Linked DNA regions of Elephas maximus indicus. The protein of the gene in region 2 interacts with the protein of the main gene of each other region in a pairwise test. Links are inferred from orthologs where the notes say so. Each region holds a gene or a part of one and is shown on either strand. Other genes may lie near its edges.

What was found.
Region 1: the proteins of PNKP (region 2) and ZNF639 interact in binary tests that used the Homo sapiens proteins (3 or more experiments, as listed by UniProt). The two-hybrid records come from large-scale screens. The link is inferred for Elephas maximus indicus from reciprocal best matches to the Homo sapiens genes PNKP and ZNF639.

What each region holds. Positions count from the first base shown.
Region 1 is NC_064841.1:20,399,809-20,411,492, forward strand, and holds the start of ZNF639 (zinc finger protein 639), read right to left. Parts: upstream 5,044-11,684; 5' UTR 4,957-5,043; exon of another isoform or gene 4,830-4,956; intron 1,244-4,829; 5' UTR 1,179-1,243; intron 575-1,178; 5' UTR 564-574; coding exon 506-563; intron 1-505. UniProt on the Homo sapiens protein: Binds DNA and may function as a transcriptional repressor.
Region 2 is NC_064829.1:100,303,372-100,314,881, forward strand, and holds the start of PNKP (bifunctional polynucleotide phosphatase/kinase), read right to left. Parts: upstream 5,418-11,510; 5' UTR 5,301-5,417; intron 4,945-5,300; 5' UTR 4,932-4,944; coding exon 4,781-4,931; intron 4,232-4,780; coding exon 4,185-4,231; intron 3,956-4,184; coding exon 3,656-3,955; intron 2,682-3,655; coding exon 2,602-2,681; intron 2,519-2,601; coding exon 2,461-2,518; intron 2,366-2,460; coding exon 2,258-2,365; intron 1,916-2,257; coding exon 1,844-1,915; intron 967-1,843; coding exon 918-966; intron 823-917; coding exon 752-822; intron 681-751; coding exon 588-680; intron 511-587; coding exon 414-510; intron 329-413; coding exon 267-328; intron 1-266. Other genes in the region: AKT1S1 (proline-rich AKT1 substrate 1), read right to left, coding at 7,209-7,352, 9,070-9,239, 9,320-9,397, 10,585-10,964. UniProt on the Homo sapiens protein: Plays a key role in the repair of DNA damage, functioning as part of both the non-homologous end-joining (NHEJ) and base excision repair (BER) pathways.

The DNA.
Region 1 (11,684 bases), on a different chromosome or scaffold from region 2:
GAGCTAATGGGTATGCCCGAGACTGTCCCAAATATGTGAGACGTACTTTTCTTATACTGCCCAGATAGCAAAGCCAACCTCAATCAAAGGGTCTAAAATTATACAGTCAAAATGAAACTTCGCATTTCCAAAAATAAAGCATAGGATCAAGATTTTTTCCCTCTAATGACATAAAATATCTTCCACTGAGGTCACTGTGCCTTAAGCACAGGCTTGGGAGCCAGACAAGCAAATCCCCATGATACCACCCAAGTATGTAGTCTCAGATATCTAATTTTAAATATTTATAATCCATGGATTTGTGAAGATTAAATAAAATATGTCTATAAAGTTCTGATGTGCCCTGGTACATGGTGGACAATGAGGAATACATAGAGGATTTATTTAAAATGCAGATATTTAATTCTTATCCATTCATTTATGAGAAAATGGATGGGAATACAAATTTCATAGAAAATAGAGTTATCTATAATCCAATTTTAAAATAATTCAATTATACACTGACCTGAATAACGAGAAGGGTGTAAAGTCTTCCTTTTCCTTTTTTTGGGATATTCATTCATATCTTTTCAATCTAAAAAATATTTAAGAAGTGTATCACAAGTAATAATTCTTAACATTGTTATAAAAATTCTAACTCAAGGATTTATTAGTAACAAGCAGTGTGTGTGCCACGTGAAAGTCTACTTCACAAGTGTTAAATGGTATCTCTCTTTACATTTTGGATTTATTTTTCCAGATAAGCCTAAAGGCAGGAGCTGATTTTAGTTTTCTTTATTAGTAAGGCTGAGAAATAACCTCTGTTTCAAATAATGATGCAACTGTGAGGACTGGGTAATTACAAGAAGCCTTATGCTTAAGTTATTTTATTTTATTTTACAAAACTATTGCGCCTATGGCACCATTTTAAGAGTTTTACAAGCACATTTCCTAAAAATAGGTGCTATTTCACTATAGGCTTCAAGCTCAAGGCTGATACAGTCCCCTAAAGGCAGATTATCACATAGAAGCTCAGAATATAAGTAATTTTCAAGAGAAAATAAAAATTATTTTCTTACTTATAAGGTCACATTCAACAGTTTACTGAGAACAGAACAGGTGTGGCAACTAGTGTAATGATTAAATTCACATGAACTGTTCATAAAATTAACTAATTAGTTTCACTACATTTCACTTACTTGGTATAACACTGGAGTGAAGAAAAACGAATTATAGGGCAATTCTCACAGATGGTAAAAAATGCCTGTAGGTAAAACATGACAGAACTCACATAAGCAAAAATGTAGCTCTTTTCTGAGATTTAAGAAAACAATGCTGCCAGATCTTTAATCAACTAAAATGTTATACAGAATTAATTAGTTACGATGTTCTTTTGAATAAACTGTACTAAGCGGTAAAAATCATACGTATTATAAATGTATGTATATGTTTCACATTGCTTTGAAATAAATTTACCTTCCAAAGCTATAGCTACATCTTGACACCAAAACAAATACAAGTTTATATTAATTTATTCAACCATAATAAAAGCAAATATTTTTAGTCACTGAATCACAGAGTCAGACTTTAAACTGTTAAGGTTTTTAAGTAGAATAAAGACCATTTATTGAGCACCAGTTATGCACTAGGCTGTCCACATACTTTATCTCATTTAACCCTATGGTATGCACAATCCATAACACTCATTCGAAATAGTTACCGTTTACCACTGGCCATTGATAAGGAAACAGGGACATAATAAAGTTAAATATTTAGCTCAAGGTTGGACAGTCAATAGATGGTAGGGTTGGGATTTGAACACAGGTCTAGCCGATTTTAAAGCCAATGCTTTCAATCATTTTAGTTTTGGAAACAAACAGGGACATGAAGTGATCACCCCAATTCAAGTAAGTTAACGACTAACGACAACCTCTTCATTTTTCCACTCTGGCAGTTGGCACATAAGGAATATCAGAAAAAAATGCACTGTGGCTTTCTCCACCTGTCTTATACACTGCTTTTCTTCTCACCAGTGGGATCTACACGGCAGGCAGGACTCGGCATCATTACTAAGACCACTGCATTTCTAGGGGTAAAGAACTTGAGGTGCACGTACTATTTTTGCTACTTCATCAAGTTGTGGGTACACCAGCACTACAGGTGATGTGATCATATTGTGGTAAGAGTGTTTTTTAGTTTACTGAATATCTTCCTAACCCTTATTCTATTCGATCTGCACAACTATCCTACGAGGTAGATAAAAACCTGCTGCCGCCGAGGCGATTCCGACTTATAGTGACCCTGTATGACAGAGTAGAGCTGCTCCATAGGGCTTCCAAGGAGCAACTGGTGGATTCGAACTGCAGATGAGGTAGATAGAGAGGCTATTATCAAACCCATCCTGTTTTTACTGATGAGAAAGGAGAGTCAGTGAAAGTCAACTCAGAAGTGGCAAAACCAGAGGTGAAAATGCATAATTTCTGACTCCTGGGCTTTGAACAACTGTATGTGAGTAAATCTTCACTGCTAATCACTGCCACCAGCAAGTTACACCTTTTTTCCAGTTCTTACTCAGATGTCAATGTGGGGGGGTGGGGTGGGGGTGAGAGAATCACTCAGAGAAACTGACAACCTTGAGATTTATAGAAATGATGGTAACAGATACGATGCTTCACCTAAAAACACAAAGAGTGTCCCAATCAAATGCGTTCAAAAAGAAAAATGGTTTTCATGTTTATGTAATAAATTAAAATTTCAAGACTTACTCCTAATACCTCTTTACTACACTTCCAGAAATTATACAGCCAATAGTCTCATACATCATGCTCTGAACGTTCTCAAAGCTCCAAGAGAACATTGAAAACTGGCAGTTAATAAACACGTGAAGGTAGCCGCTTGTTATTTCTGAATACATTTCAAGTTCTTTAGAACTCGAAGAATAAAAAAGCACGAAAAGGAAACCAAGCAGGGCATTAAAGTTAATGTTGCCAGCTGGCCTGAATTCAGACCATCAAGTGAGAGGAAGCGGATCACCTTGATCAGGAAAGGTCTAGCTTCTACTCAGGGCTGAGCAACGTCCAAATACTCACGAGGCCTCCTTTTAGCGTGATGATAAGACACACGCTAAGACCAAAAAATGCTAACCACTGTTCATTTCAGCAAACATTTCTTATCTGCCTTTTATACGCATAACTACCCCAGTGAAGAAGATTGGCTTTTTATTCAGGAACGTTATGGAAACGTTTGTTCACGAGTCCTCTTCTCGTGGGGTGGATTCTTTTTACTCAGGGACGTTATAGAAACACTTGCTCACTCGTGCTCCTCTCAGGGGTAGATTCTGAATCACGTGCAACTTATCATTCACTCCCCCTTCACCTCTTAAAAATAAACCACACGTGTAATGCATGTGCCCTACCGAATATCAGAAAAATTTTCTTAAATCACTTAGAATCCCTTCATCCAAAAAACCACTGTTAACATTCTGGTGTACGTATTTCTAGACTTTTTACTGTTACGGTGTACATATATCTTACATTTACAAAAATGGGAATATGGTACCCAAAGCATTATTTTTTTTAAAAGCAATTTACAGCATCTTTCCACCTGTCATTCTTTTTCAAACAACAACAAAAAATTTTCAACCGACAACAAAACACAATACACATAAAGGCAGTTGGCACTTATCAAATAGATGATCCACCTTTGATACTTCATGCAACGTAAATATTCTCTTAATTCGTGCAAAAGTCTTTACAATGGAAACCTACACTTTCATACCAAGGAGCTTAAAAAACCCTCTTTTTCGCTCTCGTTTAAAATAATCACGTTTTCCAGGTTGAAAACTAATTGAAACACAAAAACGCTGTAGGAGAGCCTGAACTAGGTAGAACCCACTACTTGTCCAACTTCGTATCAGTCTTTGCTGAAGTAGGTGATCATAAGTATTTGATTGCTTAGCTACTTTCAGTGCGGTACCCATCTTTATCTCTCTGCAAAGAGTTATCTGCTTCGTAGGACTCGTGTTCCCAGGCTGTACCTAGAAACAGAACCGAGCAGGGTTTATCAGCACCCCGGTGGCATAGTGGTTAACAGTTACGGCTGCTAACCAAAAGGCCGGCAGTTCGATTCCACCAGGCGTTCCTTGGAAACCGTATGGGACAGTTCTACTCTGTCCTATAGGCTCTCTATGAGTCGGAAGCCACTGGCCAGGTTTGATTTTTGTTTGGTAACACAGCGTTAGACCACATGCTGGAGACCTGAGCGCCCACGCCTGCTTTCTGCGGCTGCGGCTCGCGGGCGGCGCGAGCACCGGGTGCGCTCCAGCTGAACGAGGGTCGCGATCCGCCCGCCGGGGCCCAAGGGCCTGCGTGGCACCGAGGGACGCCCGGAGCCCGGACGCCGCACGACAAGCCCGTCGCATGGGCCGGCCAACAACTGCCAGGACCCAGCTGTCTCCGGCCCCACGCCACGCACCGGCCTGTGCGGGCCGGGGACCGGCGACAGGGGCCGGCGCTGAGGGGCTACCAGGACCCGACCCCAGAGGCGCCACAAAGAAGAAAGTCAGCAGAGCGCCGAGGCGTCCCCCGGAAGGGGTGGAACGGCCTTCGGGATGGAGGAGGGAGGCGCCATCCCGCCATAAAACGAAGCAGGTTTTCACGCGAACGGAGCCATCCGGCCCTTCCCGCCGTCTCCCGGCCGCTGCGGCGCCCGCACGCCCACATCCCCTGCAGCCGCCCGCGCCCGGCCCGCCCGCGCCTCCATCACACTCACCGGCGCCTCGGGGCCCGGCCGGCCGGCCCAGGCGCAGCGCGAGGCGGCGTTGGCCCAGGCGCCCCGGCCCCGCGGCCCTGCCCGCCGACAGAGGGCGGCGCCGCTCCGGCCCTCGCGCTCCCCGCGCCCCTCCGGGCCGGCCTGCTCCCTCCGCGCGCCCACGCCCTGCCCGCCAGGCCCCAGGCCCGGGCTCCGGGCCGCACTCACCGCCCGGCTCCGCGCCTGCGCCGCGCACCTCAAGGGACCGCCGAGAGGGCGGGGAGGCGAAGAGGTAAGGCCGAGGGCGGGGAGTGGGTGCGCGGCCTCGCCGCACTCCAGCCTGGGAGGGACCACCGGCCTCCAGCCCCGGGGGTGGCCCGGCGGCCCGCGGGCCCTGCCGGCACCTCTGAGCCGCCGGAGGCCTCTTCCGGGCGGGGTGCCGCCCCTCCCGAGCGGCGCGGGGGCTCCCTCCCTCTGGGACGGCTCCGGGCCAAGCCGCAGAGGGCGCTTCCCCTTGCCGCCCTGGGCGCTCCCTCCCGGCCCCGCGGACGTGGGCGAAGCGCCGGGCGAGCACCCCTTTTCCCAGACTGCTCCTGCAGGGGAAGTACGTAAATGGTCTTGCCCAGGTTGGGGCAGGCAGAAGGCCTGGCAAACCCCAAAGAGTACCCGCAGCCGGTTGGGGACGCCAAGGGGCAACGTCAGCGTCGTGGTTTTGTTGAAGCCCCAAAGAACCACGCAGGGCTGGGATGCTGTCGTCGGGGCCGGAAGGTGAAAATCTTTAAGGTCAATGAAATTAAAGTTGTTTAGGCTTCAGCTGTATTCCTGGGCTCGAGAAATCTCGTAGAATCAGTGTGGACTCAGAGGGGATTAGATTAGCCGACCGAGCCCCCTTTCCAGCCTTTAGGTTCTGTGAGCAGATCTAGAGCCTAAAGAGGTAACTGGGCATAAATAAGCTTGGGAACACGGTTTCGATAAAAACGAGCGTGGACATATATTTAACTGAATCCTCACAACTTGTTTCTGTTGTTGTTCCCAATTCACAAATTAGAAAATAAGTCTGTGAGGAGCTAGAGACTAGATCTTGCTCATTTTTGTAGCCTCAGCATCCAGAGTTCAAATAAATTTGAAGTGAAGGAATGAATGAGGCCCCTCAGGATTATCACGTGCCCACAGTCACTCGGATAGTCGTGCTGGAACCCGGGTCTTCTTATCCAGGTGCACTGTGCTTATTCTGATTACCACATGCTTATCCAACCAAAAACTAGGTCATAATAATCACAGACCCTACTCAGATCCTGTCACATTAGCTAGTGCTGCTATAACAGAAGGACCACAAATGCTTGGCTTTAACAAACAGAAACGTATTTTCTCACGGTTTTGGAGGCTAGAAGTCCGAATTCAGAGCGCCAGCTCGAGGGGTAGGCTTTCTCTCTTCCCCGACTCTGAAGGAAGGTCCTAGTCTCTTCAGCTTCTGCTTCCTGGTTCTTCGGAGATCTCCAAGTGGCTTGGCATCTGTTTTATCCCATCTCTCCTTTTGCTTGCTTATTTAATCTCCTTAATGTCTCAAAAAAGATTGACTCAAGACACACCCTACACTAATCTTGTCTCAACAAAGACAGCCCATTCCCAAATGGGATTATAATCATAGGCATACAAACTAGTATTTACAACACATATTTTTGGAGGCCAAAACTCAATCCATAACAGATCTCGCTTAAAAAAAAAAGTCACATTTGGAAGAACATGACTTGTTTGTGAGGCCAGTTTTTGTGACCTCGTAACTTTTATGTGTGCTCAGCCCAAGTAAACAAATGTTCATGAATGCTACTGGCATGGCCTGAATAAAGTACAAAAATGTTTGATTCCTAGAGCTCAGCTACTAGGGAAAGATTGGCAGCTTGGACCCACCCTATAGCCTCAAGGAAGAAAGGCCTGGTGATCTGCTTCTGTAAAAGATTACAGGCAAGAAACTCAGCTCAGTTCTACTCTGAACACATGGGTCTCCATGAATCGGAATCGACTTCACAACAACTTTTTTTTATAGTTAGTACCTGGCACGAAATAGAAATCAATACTTGTTTCCGGAATTTGTAAAGAACCTTATGTATCATTCCCTCCTCCCTGGCTCTACTGTTCCCTGTGTTCTGCAATGGAAGCCACGAGGGGTGTCACTGAACCATCAGTCACTGTCTTATTCACACATAGCTTGTGCCAAACAAAAGCTTTACATTCGGAGGTGAAGTACCATTGCAAAACATTTTGTATTGAGCACAAACATGTTTTTTCCTAAAAACAACAAAAAAAAAAGAAGTCTCTCATTCTTTTCCATTTACTCGATGAAGTAAATAAGGAGCATTACAGTGTTCAGAGGTCATTTAACATGATCACAAATTGAAGGCAATTTAAAATTCTTTGGTTAACTGGAGTACAATTTCTAGTTTAATTTTTGCTCTCCTGTCTTCGGGTTCTCTAGAGAAAAAGAACCAGTAAGAGATTTACTTCAAGGGATTGGCTCATGTGATTGTGGAGCTGGCAAGTCCAAAATCCAAATGTCAGGCTTCAGCCTGGAGATTTCTTCAGGCTTTCATCCCATGATCTGAAGGGTCAGGCGAAGAGAGAAAGGGATCTGCCAAAATGTCTGTTTGTAGTCTGGTGACAAACCACACCCTAGGGAAACTCTCCATCCAACTAATGATTGATTGCATTATGGAAGGTGATTTAATTACTTTAGATTAGACAGCTAGTCTGTTGTTAGGTGGCCTCGAGTTGGTTCCGACTCATAGTGACCTATGTACAACAGAAAGAAACACTGCCTGGTCTTGTGCCTTCCTCACAATTGTTGTCACCACTATGTCAATCCATCTGTTGAGGGTCTTCCTCTTCTTCGCTGACCCTCTGCTTTACTAAGCGTGGTGTGCTTCTCCAGGAACAGGTCCCTCCTGATAACACGTCCAAAGTAGTGAAACACAGTCCTTCTTCCAAGACAGATTTGTATGTTCTTCTGGCAGTCCATGGTACATTCAATATTCTTCACCAATACCGTAATTCAAATGCATCAGTTCTCCGGTCTTCCTTATTCATTGTCCCGCTTTTGTATGCATGTGAGCCCAATGAAAATACCATGGCTTGGGTCAGGTGCACCTTAGACCTGAAAGTGACAATCTTTTTAGAAGTAGATTGCCAGGTTCCTCTTCCTAGTCTTAGTCTGGAGGCTCCACTGAAACCTGTCCACCATGGGTGACCTTGCTGCAGTGGTGTCACTAGGTTTGATGCCACCCAGTGCAGTAACTCATGGTGTTACCCCCCGCCCCATGGGCCTCCTCCGTACCAGGTTCAAAAATACTAATTACCACAATATTGTAGCTAAAACACCAGAAAACTTGACAAACCCAGTGACTATAGAACACCGGCAGCAACAGCGTGTGCTTGTAGCACCTGCAGACGAAACCACGTGATTCGAAGCGCCATTGTGACTGGGTAATAAAGACAGCTCTGACCAGAGCGCATTAGAAGGTTCAAAAAATAAATTAGCATAGAAGCTACTACATGTAAGCTGGGCTTACGAAAAGTGTGTTATTGTTATGACTAATTACAGGGATATTTTTATAAAAAATAAATTTCTACTGAAACACTGCACAAAATTTTATAGACAGTCATTTTGGTGTCATCCCAGGTGGTCTGCAGCCCTCGCATCACCCTCATGATGCCATTGCCCTGCTGATGGTTGCAATACCAGTGGCATAGCTTCCATCATCCCAGCAACATGCAAGCCATCTGTGATGGTTAAGGTTGTGTGTCATCCTGGCTGGGCCATGATTCTCAGTGGTTTGGCAGTTGGATGATAATGTGATCACTTCCATGATGAGATTTGATGTAATGTGATCACCTCCTGCAGCTGGCTCCTGTTCTTTTGGCCTCCCGTTCTTGGGACATGAGCTTACAGCTTCCCTGCTGTCTTGCCTGCCGATCTTGGGATTCATCAGTCTTTGCAGCCGGGAAGCCAGAGCCCTGCTGTCTGACTTGCCGATCTTGGCTTAGCCAGTCCCTGTGGCTACCTGAGTCAGGAGAAGCCTCTAGCCTGACCCACGTTCCAGCCTCTACAACCACGTGAGTCATTTCCTTAATATAAATGTCTCTTTCTATATATTTGGAGCCCTGGTGGTGCAGTGGTTAAGAGCTCGGCTGCTAACTAAAAGATTGGCAGTTCAAATCCACCAGCTGCTCCTTGGAAACCCTATGGGGCAATTCTACCCTGTCCTATAAGGTCACTATGAATCACGTATTTATGTATTTATATGCTTTACTGGTTTTGCTTCTCTTAGCGAACGCAGCCTAAGACATCCTCACAGTATGACATTCACAGATGAGTGGTGGGCAGCTTGTCTAGTATTTGGCTGAACCACCGGGAATCATAGCTTGGCCAACTTGACACATAAAATTAATCCTTACATCTCCTTTTTCTAATTCTCCTTTTCAGGGAGGGTGGCCATGGGGATAAAACTATGAAATCTCAAAAGACTACCAAATTGTACAGTTTACCAGTTCCTATTATAACTCTGACTGAGCCCAAAAAGCCAAACCCATGGCATTGATTCCAATTCACAGTGATCCTGTAGGACAGAGTAGAACTGCCTTGTAGGGTTTCTGAAGCCGCAAATCTTTATGGAAAGAGACTGCCACATCTTTCTCCCACAGAGCAGCTGGCGGTTTTGAACCGCCAACCTTTTGGTTAGCAGCTGAGCGCTTTAACCACCGTGTCACCGGGGTCCTTAACTTTGACTGAGGGGGTATTTAATCATCATTCTTCCAACTTCTTGCCACACTGATAGCTTAGCTTAATTTTTTCCTGATTAGAGTAGGGATACATGCTTCTTACAAAATGCAGACAATAGCAAAATGTAAGGAGCAAAAGAAATTTACCATAATCCCATAACCCTGAGCAAACCAATGGTAACATTTTACTCTATAGCTTTCCATTATTTTTATACCTATGTACACACATAGACTTTTTTTTTCAAAATCAGGGTATTATTGTTTATGTTGTTTTGTGACGGGTTTTTTTTCTACTTTGTTACTTGAATATTCCTTAAAGCCCACTACCATCGGGTCCGACTCATAGCGACCCTACAGGACAGAGTAGAACCGCCCCATAGGGTTTCCAAGGTGGATTTGAACTGCAGCCCTCTTGGCTAGCAGCCGAAGCTCTTAACCACTATACCACCAGGGTTTCCGAATATTCCTTATGCTATCAGAATGTTAAAGGGCACCTTAATTAGTGGACATTCGAGTTGTTTCAATTTTAAAAAATGCTTTGCCAATTTGGTAAGTAAAATATAATATACCATTTTAATTTTTTTTGATGAAATTGAATTTTTCTCCTGTGTTTATTGGCCATTTGTATTTTTAAATTTTGAGTTTGTCTTCTATTTTTCTATAGGCTATTAATTTTTTTTTATTTTTAATTAAAATTTTTAGCCTTTTGTCTGTGATATATATTGCAGATATTTCTTTCCAGTTTGTTTGCTTTTAATTCTGTTAATGCACAAACATTTCGAATTGTGGTGAAACCAAGCCTATCAATCTTTTCCTTTATAGGTTCTGTTGCTGGCCTTATGCGGAGGATAGTCTTCTAGCCAAGATCTAGTTACATTTTCTACCTTATCTGTAATTTATTTTGGGGGGATGAGATGGAGAGAGCTATTTCTTTCTGTCATTGTTCTTTGTTCTTATTTCTCCGCATCTTGTAAAACAGCCTGAAATTAAATTTGCAAGCATAAAAGAGCTTCAGCTGATACTCCAGTAACCCATCGGAATCACCCGCAGGTCTTGTTAAAATGCAGGTTTCTGGGCTCTATTTCCAGAGCTTCTAATTGGGTGGATCTGAGGGGGGACCTGAGAGTTTGCATTTCTGACAAGTTCCCGGATGAGTGCGGATGCTGCTGGCCTAGGGACCACACTTTGAGAACCACTGTTCTAAGATTTTCCCCACCCGCCCCCACCACCAGTTGCCAGTTAAGTTGACTCTGACTCTTGGTGACCCCACGTGTGGCAGAGTAGAACCACACTCCATATAGTGTTCAGTGGCTGAGTTTTCAGAAGTAGATTGCCAGGCCTTTCTCCCAAGGCACCTCTGGGTGGACTCAAACTACCAACCTTTCAGTCAGCAGCCAAGCACATTAATCGTTTGCACCACCCAGGGACTCCCCACCCACCCCATACTAGCCAAATACTGCTTCTCACCACTCCACAGATAAGCTCTCGCTCCTTCTCACCTGTGTGCTTCAGCACGTTTCTCTTTCCTGCAGTCTGTTTCCTCTGTTTCTGTAAGATCACGCTCAAATTCTTTCTTCTATGAAATTTCTAATTCTCCCTGTAGCAGAGATGCCTGCTAAAGGATTCCACAGTACTTGGTACCTGAATCCACTTTTCACCAGAGATGCATGTGCTCTGAAAGTAATGAAGCTTAAACTTCATGTCCTCTCAATCGTGTGAACATTTTCCGATTCAAGACACTTTTGTGTTTATAGTTGTATATTATTTCTTAAATCAGTCTTCAAGTTGGGATAAGCTTCTGTCCTCACAAAATTTGGCTCCATCCCTTCTTGTCACATTATGCCTGTGAGTTCTTCTCTTTCAGTCTGTTCCATCTCACCATTTAGCACAGTGCCTTGCATAGCACCTCATTCACTTTTTCAATCGAGTATTCATTGCATATTAACCTTGTGTCCAGCTCGTACTACATACTGGGGATACAGTGTAAGTGAGGTACACATGGCCGTGACCCTTACAGCCTTGTAGGGAAGATATGCACTTAAACAGCACAAAATGTGATGACTAAACTTACATGAGCCAAGTAAAGAACGTTATGGAAGCATGTAGCATGGAGCCTAGCTTGGTCTAGGAGTCCTTGGGTGGTGCAAAGGGTTGAGCACTTGACTACTAGCTGAAAGGCTGGT
Region 2 (11,510 bases):
AGAGTGAAGGTCATGGACAGGGAAGGACAGAATACCTAGCGAGAAGGGAGCCAGGGACCCAGAGGGAAGGGGCATAGAGATCCAGACAGAGGGGGACAGAGACCCAGGGGGGCAGAGACCCAGAGAGAAGAGAGAACAGAGACCCAAGGGGAGCAGAGGAGGAGAGAGGTCAGGGAGGGAGGCAGTGGCTGGGGAAGGAAGCGACGCCCCAGAGACATAATGGGGCATAGTGACTGACTCAGTTGGTGCTGCTGACAGGAGCGTACCCTGTTCACATGGACGTATCCAGCGGACACCAGATGCCTCTTGAGGAAGGTAGACTTCCCAGCTGTGAGGTGGGCGTGTACTATAAGTATCTTAGGACCAGGAGAGGGGCTGGGGGCACCCGGAGGTCAGGGGTCAGGGCATCTCACCCCCAGGAAATCCCACGGCGACGACCACCTCAGAGTCAGAGCTCAGAAGGGAGCTGGATTCAGGGAAGCAGAGAGGCCCTGAGGAGGCAACGGTCCTCTGGGGGGCCGGACAGGAAGGATTAGACCCCAGCCCATTCCCATAGGGCTCCCCTCCCACCAGAACGTGGGCCTCACCGGGTCAAAAGCTGGGAGCTCAAAGCTGGCTGCAGGCCACTTGAGAAAGAACTCCTCGGGTGTGGTGAAGGTCAGATCGAGGTTGAGGGCAAACTGGGGGTGAGGGCAAAGGTAAGAGGGGGAGCCAGGGAGCCCAGAGGGCAAGAATGGGGGCGGGACCTCACCAAGCGGTCTGCACAAGAGAAGTCTTTCTTCTTCCGCCCAGGGGCCCAGTTTGCGGGGCGACCAGCAGCGTCTGAAACAGCAGGGGACACATACTGCCTCCACCAGCAACTGGTGACAGCGGGGGCCCCAGGGTCCACAATTTCCCCCAAGCTCCCAGGCCCTTACCCCCGACGAAGAGGCTATCCTCAATGGAGATGGGCATGCCCTCATTGGCCTGGGGGGACAGGAGGATGGACAGCAGGCAGTAAGGAGCCATTCCTACACCTCTGTTCCCCCTAAAGCATCAACAGTCTAAAGTATTAGTTTGATCTTTTACCCTACATGTTCCATAGCCAATCTCTCAGACCACCATCCCACCACTTTGCACCACCCCCCACTTCTGCCCTCACTCCTGGTGTGTTCCCCATACAAAGGCGCTCAATACCGCTTACGTCCTGTGCTTCAGCTCAGAGACCCCCTGTGGCTCCTGCCTCCCTGAGTCAAAGCAAAGTCCTAACGGTGGCTTCCACAATCCCCACATCAGGTACTCTCTATTCAGTTCCCTCTCTGCCTTCATCCCCTGTCCTCGACCACTCAGTTCCAGCCACACTGGCCTCCTCCCTGTTCCTCTTATACTCCAAGCCCACTCCTGCCTCGGGGCCTTTGCACTTGCTATTACTTCCTCCTGGAAAGCTCCAGATACCCCCATAGCTCTCTCTCTCTATTCGTTTAGATCTTCATATGTCACCTGCTCAGAAAGGCCTTCCCTGACCATCTGAGCTAGAATAACACCCCTGGTTTTACCTTGCTTCATTTAGTTGGCCAGCCTCACTGGGATGTGAGGGCTGATGGGGCTGGCATGTCTGTCTTGCTCACTAAATATCTCTAGCCGAAGAATATGTTGAATTTCAGAACAAACGTAAACATGAATGAATGAAGGAATGAGTGAACGAGTAACAGCTAAAACTGGAGAAAACCACGTGATGAGAGCTGAGCAAGAATACCAGAGAAATGAGAAGAGGAGTAAGAAGGGGGAGGCCGGGCAGGGAGTGAGGAGCTGGAAAGATAAGGAGAGCAACCCTGAGGACGGGCAGAGAAAGGCAGCAGCTTACCTGCTCCTGCAGATGGTCCCACATGCCAGTCACTGGTTTCCGGTACAAGCCAGCATGAGTGGCCACCAAAACCTATGGGTGGCAGGGGGCTCAGATCTCATCCTTAGCTCTTCCTTGAGCACCCAGCATCCTTTGAGGGTACAGGGCCCCACTGGATACTATCCCAACCCTCACCAACCCTGGACAGCACCCAGTGCCCAGACTTTGCAGTTTATGATGGGTATCTGTCAGCCTAACCTCTCACCCCAGGGTCTCTGTCCCTCTCTCTCTGGCTCTCTGGGTCTCTGTTCCTCTCTCTCTGCATCTCCACCCCCCTCTCTTTCTGGACCTCTGTTCCCTCTCTCCCTGGGTCTCTATCCCTCTCCGCAGGTTTCTAAACCCCCACAGGGCCCCTAGCCTCCCTTCCAGCCATACCTGGAAAGGAACACCAAGCTTCTCCACCACAGCCTCCACCTTGGCCTTGAACTCCTCTGCTGGCAGCTTCCCGCGCCCGATGCCCATCTGGTTGGTGAAGATCACCAGCTGGGGAGCAGATGGGTGTCACCCGTTGCCTCTGTCCCCAGGGCCCCTCCTCACCAAGGCCTGGCTGCTGCATGCGTATGTGCGTACACACACACCTTGTAGCCCTCGGCTTCCAGCTCACGGAGCTTCCGCGGAATCTCAGGGTACAAGATCCTAGGACAGGTGGGGAAGTGGCAAGGGTGACCTGGGGCCCAGAAGTGGATGCAGGTGTCCCTTTCTCCCTCCCCTCTTCTCACTTCCAGTCGCTGGGGCCGGTGGGAAAGACCTTCCCAGAGCGTGTGGTGATGAGAGTCCCATCCAGATCAAAGCTGGCCACCTGGCATTGGGAGAAAGAGGAACGGCAGCTCTGTCATCCCCCTCGTTCTCCTCGCTCACAGGCTGACTCACAGCCGCCCTGCGAGGGAGGCATGCTTACCATCCCCGTTTTACAGGTGGGAAGACCAAACCACAGAAACCGTAAATGTCTCATGCCTCATGCGCAGTGAGGATCCTCTGAGCGCAGAGCCTGAAATTGGAACTTTACTGGTTCCCATTCCTCTTCTGGAGCCCTGGTGGTGCAGTGATTAAGAGCTACAGCTACTAACCAAAAAGTCAGCAGTTCAAATTCACCAGCTGCTCCTTGGAAACCTTAAGGGGCAGTTCTGCTCTGTCCTATAGATCACTATGAGTCAGAATTGACTCAAAGGCAACGGGTTTGGTTTTTTAAATTTATTCCTCCTCTGCCCCTCAGTCTTCCAGTCTTGAAAATGGGGGTTAATATCTTGCCCACCCTCTTCCTCTGGGCTCCTCCACCTCAGAGAGTTAATTATCATGAAAATAAGAACAGGAGCTGAGTTTTATTTGGGTGTTAGCTGTTGCCACATCCTTTTAATGGATTTATCATTTGAGGAGGGAGGTGGGGCTCAGAGAAGCAAAGCAGCTGCCCTCTGCTGGAATGTGGAGGGAACGGTGTTTGAACTCAAGTCTCTATGGTCCTAAACACCACACCCAACCCAATAACTACCCCCCAAATCCCCAGCCGTTGCCATCGAGTGGATTCCAAGTTATAGCGACCCTATAGCTCCTGCGAAAATGACCGTGATCACCATGTAGTTACTGAGTCAGGCAGAAGTTGATGTACACCGTTTTCTCCATGGCTGAAAACCACTCCTGAATTTGTCACCAGGCCCATTTCGCAGAAGAGGAAGTGGAGGCTAGGAGAGGTCTAGTGACTTGAGAAAGAGCACCCAGCAAACTTAGGTTGAGCCCTCAGTCTGTGGAGGCTCCCACAGCGCTCAGCTTAGCCCTCACCTTGCCCTGGGCCTTCACCCCAGGTGCCGTGAACACCAGCAGCTTCTCGAAGCTTTCCCAGCCTGGGGATGACTTCCGCATCCGCTTTTTCCGCTGCTCGGTACCCTCCTTCACGTCTGGGTCCACCGGAGGGGTGCCGGGTGGAGTGTCTGGCTGGGGTCCTGCTGTGCAGGCCTCTTCCCAGCGCAGGATCAGGGGGTGGAGGCCGTTGACCAAATACAGCGTGTCCCCCACCCCCAGAGAGCCCTTCAACCCCGGGTTCAGCTCCTGCGTCCCCGCAGTTGAGGGGTTGACTCCCAGCTGCAGAGGAAGAGAGAGGAGCTGGAACTGGCTGCGCCCCAACCAGGAACCTCCTCCAATCACACACCGTGGGGAAGCACTTGCATGGGTCAACCTTATTGGCCACACCCCCTCCACTCTTAGCGAATCAGATTTTTCCAATGGGACCTTTTCCCTGCTGGGTTGAGCTTCCTCCCCTAACTCCTACCCCTCCCCCAGGTCTTGCTGCCCCTTGTTGGGATCCTGGTACCTGTTTCACGGCCACTGTCCGGGTCTCAGGGTCTGCAACCAGCTCCACTGAGAGTGAGGAGGCAGAGTCAGGATTTGCACCCTTGTGTGATTGGTTCCCTGATTAATGGGGGCGTGGCCAGCTTCGGGCGACAGGATTGGGCTACCAGCATCCTTAGCGGAGTAGGAGGCATAGTTTATTTTTGAATGCAACTGGCTCATTCCTTGACAGATTGAGGCCCTAGGGTTGCCTGCGACCTCTGATCCGTGCCTAAGGTCAGGACGGATGCTTCTCTCCATAGGATCGGTTCTTTTCTTGACAAGGGTCGTGGCCTGTTTCAGGCCTTCACAGTGTCCTGTGAGCATCCTTCTCTGCCCACTGACAAGTTTCCTGGCATTGGCTCCATCCCCTCTCCCCAAAAGGGTATGGCCAATTCCACGTCAGGCACAACCTTGCTCTTCCTGTGCTCCCCAGAGGTCATCTACCAACTTAAGCATTGCCTGCACCACGCAATTCAGCCTAGCAGCCAAGCTACCTCCCTAGGGGCTTGCTTTCCCTTTGACTGTGTTCCCGTCCCCTGACGCAGGCCACACCCCCAAGGCGCAGGTCCCGCCCACCTTGGTTTCGTGAACACTTCCGGTCGGTGACTCGAGTCAGAGGTCCCCGACCCAGGATGAGGGCTTGCCCGTCCGTGGGCAAGAAGATGGGAGGCGCCCCCCCAGGGGGACTCTCGAGCCACAGGCGACCATGGGCCTCCAGCTCGGCCATCCTGGGACGAGGCCTAGGGACAAGTAGGTACACGAGTTTGAATGGCAAGTCTGAGCCCCGCCCATCCTCCTACCTGGCTCGTGGGAAACCCCGCCTTTTTGGTTCCTTCTGAAGGCCGGCTCGGCCCACAGGAAGTCCCGCCTCTTGACACTTCCTCGAAGTCCCGCCTCCTCCGAACTGACAGCAGTTCCCCACCCTCCTACAAGAATGTCCTCTGTTCCGGAAATCCCACCCCTTCGCTGGCCAACAGCTCGCGCTGTTTCCCAGGCGACGACGCCTGGCTCCCTCCCGCCGCGAGTCAGGATCCCAAACTCCCAGAGCCAGAGCCGAGAGCATCGCGCGCGCCCCCCGCCCTACCACCACTCTCACCTGTGCACGCCGTTCGGATTCAAGCGCCACTTCCTACCAGAGAATTCCTACCAGAGGCGTTCCGCCCACAACTCGGCCCGCCGATTTCTCAGTTCCGCGGAGGACGGAAATGACTAGCTCCACCGAGAGGGGCGGGGCCTTGGTTCCTCCCACCACTGCAGCCCCGCCTCATCCCAGATATAGGGCGGTTCCTCGTCAGCTCTTTTTCTCTTGCCGCAATGTTAGGCTCCGGCCAGTAGGGGAGAGTGTGTCCTCTGTTCACAGATTTTTCTGTACCATGTTGAATTATGTATTTCTTTTGCTGGAGGTAGATACAATGGGAAGTTCTCTTCCCCACTTGAAGTTCGTTGTCAGTACCCCAGTACCCCCGACAGCATCCCTAGTCTTAAAAGATTGTTCTCTTGCTTTAACCTCGATGCTGCAGTTTTGTCACCTATAAAGTGGGGGATAATCGTCTCCACGTCGTGGGTCTAATAGAAAACCAAAGGAGTTAATACGTGCAGATAGCTTAGAAAAGCATCAGGGTTTTAGTAAGCCATCTTTAAATGTTGTCTGCTAGCATTCCTCCGGTGGTGTCCGTTGGCAAATGGGGGTTCCATGTTTACTTTATCGAGTCCTAACTTCCGACCAGGTTCTACCTGCTTTATAAACCCCAGCCCTCCTCTTGTGGTAGGAAACTACCGGCTGCAGCTGGAGGTGCTTGTCTTTGCTGGGCAATATGTGAGCTAGTTAAGGAGACTGATTCCTTAAAACCACTCTGGTCCTAACACTCATCCCCCAGGAGATTGGGGCTCCACGGCCAGAGACCCGAAATCCTAAGCCCCTCCAGCCCCGTAAATTTCCACTCCTTTGTATGTAAAATGGGGACAACTACCCCACCTCCCAGCTTTGCGGTAGGAATCAGTGAGATGCTGATTCAGCTTGAGAACACGTTGAATAAACACCTCATACTCATTTGGCAGAGGTAAAACTCTTTAATCTCAGAGCCCCCCCTCTTAACGTCCGACCCATTACCCCACTCTCTCCTCCACATCAGGGCCGGAGAGTAAGGCCCCCTGCCCCCCACCTTGGGTGGACGAGGGCCCTTTAAGGCACCTTTGGGGTGGGGGAAGAGGGGTGGGAGCTGGTAACGTCCTGGACGCAAGAACGGACTTCGATTGGCAGGCTGTTGTGGGATGGAACCAATGAGAGGAGGTGTCAGAACGTAGAAACAAGATTGGACCACCCCTGAGGGAGCCAGAGGAACAAATCATCACGATTTGGCAAAGGCGAGCCCAGCCCCAGTAGTGTAAAAAACATAAATTGAAGACCACAGGCCAATCCAGGGCACGGGAAGCGGGCTTGGCCATGCCCTCAGTAGGCATGAACCAGTTAAATGGGAAAACTCGCGAAAGACAAAGGGTAACTCTCGGGAGATTGGTCAAGCACTTCACATGGCTCGAGCCAATCAAAAATGAAGAAGCGGCCCTGTCACTAGGCGGTAGATTACCACTGCCCAATCCTGGGGTTTGACTGTGCTGTTTCAGGGATGGAGCCCATGCCGAGCGAGCAAAGCTGTGTCGCTAGGCGGAAAACGGCGGGATGGACTCACTGAGTGTTTGCAACTAGCCACACCCCTGATAGGAGAGCCAGCCAATCCCTTAATGAAAGGACCGGTCGCTGCGCGAAGGGAGACAGACCAAATCAAGATACTGGACGGGCCCCCTTTCCTTGGCGCAGGAGGGGGACGCGGGCTGGGAGGGCATCCCGGTCACTAGGTGGGGACTGGCAAGGACGGTCAGTCCCGGGGCCCCAGGAGCCGTGGGGAGGCCGGTCCTGGACCTGCCTCGGATTGACGGGCCCCGGGGGCGGGGCGGGGGTGTAGTGTGGGGCGGGACGGCCGCAAGTCAGGCAGCGCCTGCACCGGCCTCAGTATTTCCGCTTCAGCTTCTGGAAGTCGCTCGTGTTGAGCCGCGGCCGAGGCAGGTCCCCAAAGACCTGGGTATCCTCGGCCTCCCGCAGCACCAGCGCGCGCATGCTCGCCGCGATGCGGTCCAGGTCCGGCGAGGAGGGCTGCGGAGAAGGCCACCAGGTGGTGTCAGCACAGAAAAGGGCCCTTTCTCACTCGCCTCTTTGCTGCGCCAACCCCCTCAGCCCCCACGCCCACTGCCAGGAATGCCCTTCACGCTTCTGTCCTACTAAGACACCAAACCCAAACCAAACCTGTTACCCTGGGGATGATTCCGACTCATGGTGACCCCACGTACTACAGAATAGAACTGAGCTCCACAGGGTTTTCTTGGCTGTAATCTTTACAGGAGCAGATTGCCAGGCCTTTTTTCTGCAGTGCCACTGGGTGGGTTCGAACTGTCAGTCTTTAGGTTCCTAGTAAAGCTCAAGCCGTTTGCGCCACCCAGGGAGACTCAGACACCACCTCCCCCAAGAAGCCCTCCTGCCTCTCCTCCTCCCCTTCTTGACCTGGTGCTTTGGGCAGCCACGGCTGTGGGACCACCTTCTCATAAACTTGTAACACTATGGAGGTGCCCTTTGTCTGCTGACCATTGGGGCTGAGTGCAGCCAGGGGGTCTGATCTTGAAGCCTTTGGGCTTGGGATTCAACTATGTTCCATTCAGGGCTCTGCCACATTACACAAGAGGTTTCACTGTACTAAGCCTCAGTCTCTACCTCTGAAAAATGGGTTAACAGGGTAATACAGAGGTCCTACAAGGGCTAAAATGAGACCATCAGCACAGTGACTGTTCCAGAAGGTGAAGTATCATGTCATCGGCACTCCTGAGCTGGACAGGGAGGGTCCCTCTTCATGTCCTCCTTCATAGGAGACTTCCGGAGTTGTCTTGCCATTCCATCTGCCCACAGCCCCAGCGCCTAGTGCTATCTCCATTATACCTCCTGTCACACTGAGCTGGAATGTGGCCGTCCCAACAGCAGAATGTGAGTGGACATCAGCAGAGGGGACCCGAGCTTGCCCTGAGGCCAGCGCAGGTACCCAGCACTCGGGGCCTCAAGTGCTCACTTAATTAACTGCATCTCTGCAAATCGCAAGCAGTAACCACAGCAGCAGCTGGACCGGGCAGTGTCCTTGGTTTCCAGCATCACTGGCTTGCTGGGCCCTTGGGACAGCCCATGAGTTTGCAGATGAGGACACTGAGGCCCAGAGAGATGTCATCAGGGAGGGAGGACCACGAGGACCCAGGCCTCTTCCTGCAAAGCCTACAGCTCCTTCCTAAGGGAAGCTGGGCTCTGATCCTAGGCCTGCCATTGACAGGCTGAGACCCCGCGGAAGTCACATGTCCTCTCAATGCCTCGGTTTCTTTCTGCTTCAGGGAACTTCAGTGATGGGTAACAAAGACCCACCCAGGCCAGGCCAGTCTGGGAAGAGGACAAGGGAGTGGGAAAGTCCCAGGAAAGACCAGCAATGTGAAGAGTAGGAGTAGGGGGTGATCTGACCCCTGAGCCTCAATTTCCCCATCTGGGGGGTTGCCAAGATGCTGTGTGGCAGGTGTCCTGCCCAGAGCAGGTGCTCTAAAAGTGGAGCTGTTCTCAGAGACGAGACAAAGCATGGAGACACATTATCAAGCTACAGTGGCTACAACTGCAGGCTTCGTGAGGTTGCTGTGAGGATCCATGGAGCTTTTTGCCCCGTGAATTTCAAGGCTCACCAGGAGCTGGAGTTCAATGCCTGAGGGGCTTTGTGGAGGAGGTGGCTGAGCATTTTCAGCTCCCCCTCTTACTTGCCTCCCCCTTCCATCTTCTCCCATGCATCCCTCACCTGCCCGTTCTCCTCATCCGATGACCGTGCCTCTGTCCTCTTCTCTTTGAAGGCCCAGATGGGCACAGACACGGGCAGGGATTTGGCGTACTGCTGCGTGGGTAGGGCTGAGGCTGGGGGCACCGAGTAGGTTGTGGAGCCAGCAGGGGTCTCCTCGCTCAGGCTGCCATCTGCAAGAGAGGGTGGGCCTCAGGCTCTGTCCCTGCCCTTGTCCTAGCCCCTCGGGGTGGAAGAAACCTCGGACACTCACCATCGGTGCTCTCAGGGTCCGACTCACAGAAGGGTGGCAAGTCCTGGAGGGTGGCATCCTCGTCCATCACAAAGAGCCCTGCAGATGGCACGAGAGGCTCGCGCCAGTTGGGTCCCCGCTGCATGCCATGCACCTCCTACTCCTGCCACTACCACTGCCTCCCTGCTCTCTACATTTGCTGGTTCCTTTCAAGCCTCAGGGCTTCAGCGATTACTGTTCCCTCTCCTGAGAACACTCTTCTCCTGGCTATCTGCCTGGTCCTCAGCAGAAATAAATCCAGCTTCTTTCTATCTGTTACACTCTCAGGTAAAAACAAGGGCAATTATGATCCCCGTTTCACAAATGGTGACCTGGAAGCACAGAGGGATTAAGTCACTTGCCCGAGGTACCACAGCTAAAAAGTAGCATCACTGGGGTATGAACCTAGGCTGCCTAGCTCCAGAGTATATTCCCTCAACCCTATGACGGTTTTCTTTAGCGATGTGAGGAGGCCAGGCATTGGTAATCGATAATAACGAAATAGTAACTCCTATTTATTGAGCAAAGGAGCCCTGATGGTACAGTGGTTAAATGCTCAGCTGCTAACAGAAACAACAGTGGTTTGAAAGCTCCAGCCATTCTGTGGGAGAAAAGACCTGGCAATCTGCTCCCCTAAGGATTACAGGCTTGGAAACCATTGGGGGGGCTCTACTCTGTCCTATAGAGTCACCGTGAGTTGGAATAGACTCGAAGGCCACGGCTTTCATTTACTGAGCCACCTGTAAATGCCTAAGAACCCTTCAGGGTCTAGTCTTATAACCCAGCCTCTGGGAAGCCTCCCACCTTCAAATTCCCATTAAGACAGCTGGCTGACCCCTCCCCTGGCTGCCTCAGCTATTAGTCACACCCCTTCCTCCTCTTTGGCCTCCCAGGCATTTGGTTCCCCAGATATGGAAACAACTCCTGATCTACTCATGCTCTCGGCTCAGGAGGCAATCCTCCCAAACCCTCAAGAAAAGGGCCAAGTGTGCTTGGTGTCCCCTCGGAGTGCTGAGCTGGCTCCAGATTACCAGAGTAAGGAAACAGAAACTTAGATAGAAATGACTTGCCCAGACCCCACAGTTAGCCAGGGGCAGGCCTGTGGGGCTTCCCGTCTCTTGAGGCTGCAGCTTCCCTAGATCATGAGTGCTGAGAAACAACAAGGTCCCGCTGGTGGAAAACCTGCTGGGGTGAGAAGAGCTTGCCCAACAGTGTGCTAGGCCAGCCCTGGCCCTGGACCCTCTCACCTCCATTATCGCTGATGCCCAGCCTCTCCCCGGAGGTCTCTGTCTCTGTTGGCTCATCCTCATCCTCCTCGTCCTCTTCCCTGGCCAGGGCTGGCTGGGGTGGGCTCTGCACAGGACTGGATGGCTGTGGCAATGGTGGGGGCACAGGGGGCCGGGCAGCAGTGGCCACCCCGTGGGCCAGGGCGATGTCGTGGAGGCAGCGACGGGTGGCTTCAGCCAGGGCTCCCCGGCCATGGGCTGCATAGGTGCAGGGGCCCGGGCGGAGGGGCGGTGCAGCTGTCAGCAGCACCAGCTCCGTGCCAGTCCGAGCCCGGAAACGCTCAGCAGCCCTTACCACAGCCTCCCACAGCTCCTCTGGGCGCCCTGACGCCATCCGCGCCCTGTAGGGCAGAGCAGGGCAGAGCTGGGCTCAGGTGAGGCGCCCAGACCTGCACTTCCCAGCTCCAACCCCATCTATCCAGCTGTCACTTGGAAGCTACTCAGACCCCGCCTACCTAGCTCATCCAGCTGCACTCAGCACCCTCCCCCAAACCCACTACTCTTCATCGATTCCATCTGGGGATGGCCTCACTGCCCACAAGGTCACTGGGCCAGGCCTCAAGGCACCCTCCTCAATCCCAGCCCCATCACTCCTGCCCCCCAAATCTCCATATCTGTCCCACCTGTCCCGACAGCCCCAGACTCTCCTATTGGATCTGCTCTGTCCACTATGGGAACCGCCAGCTATACAAGACGAAGAATGCAGCTGGTCCCAATTGAGATGTACTCTCGGTGTCAAGGGGCGCTGGTGGTGCAGTGGCTAAGTGATACAGCTGCTAATCAAAATGTCGACAGTTCAAATCTACCAGCTGCTCATTGGAAACCCTATGGGGAAGTTCTTCTCTGTCTTCTAGGGTTGCTATGGGTCGGAATCAACTCGAAGGCAA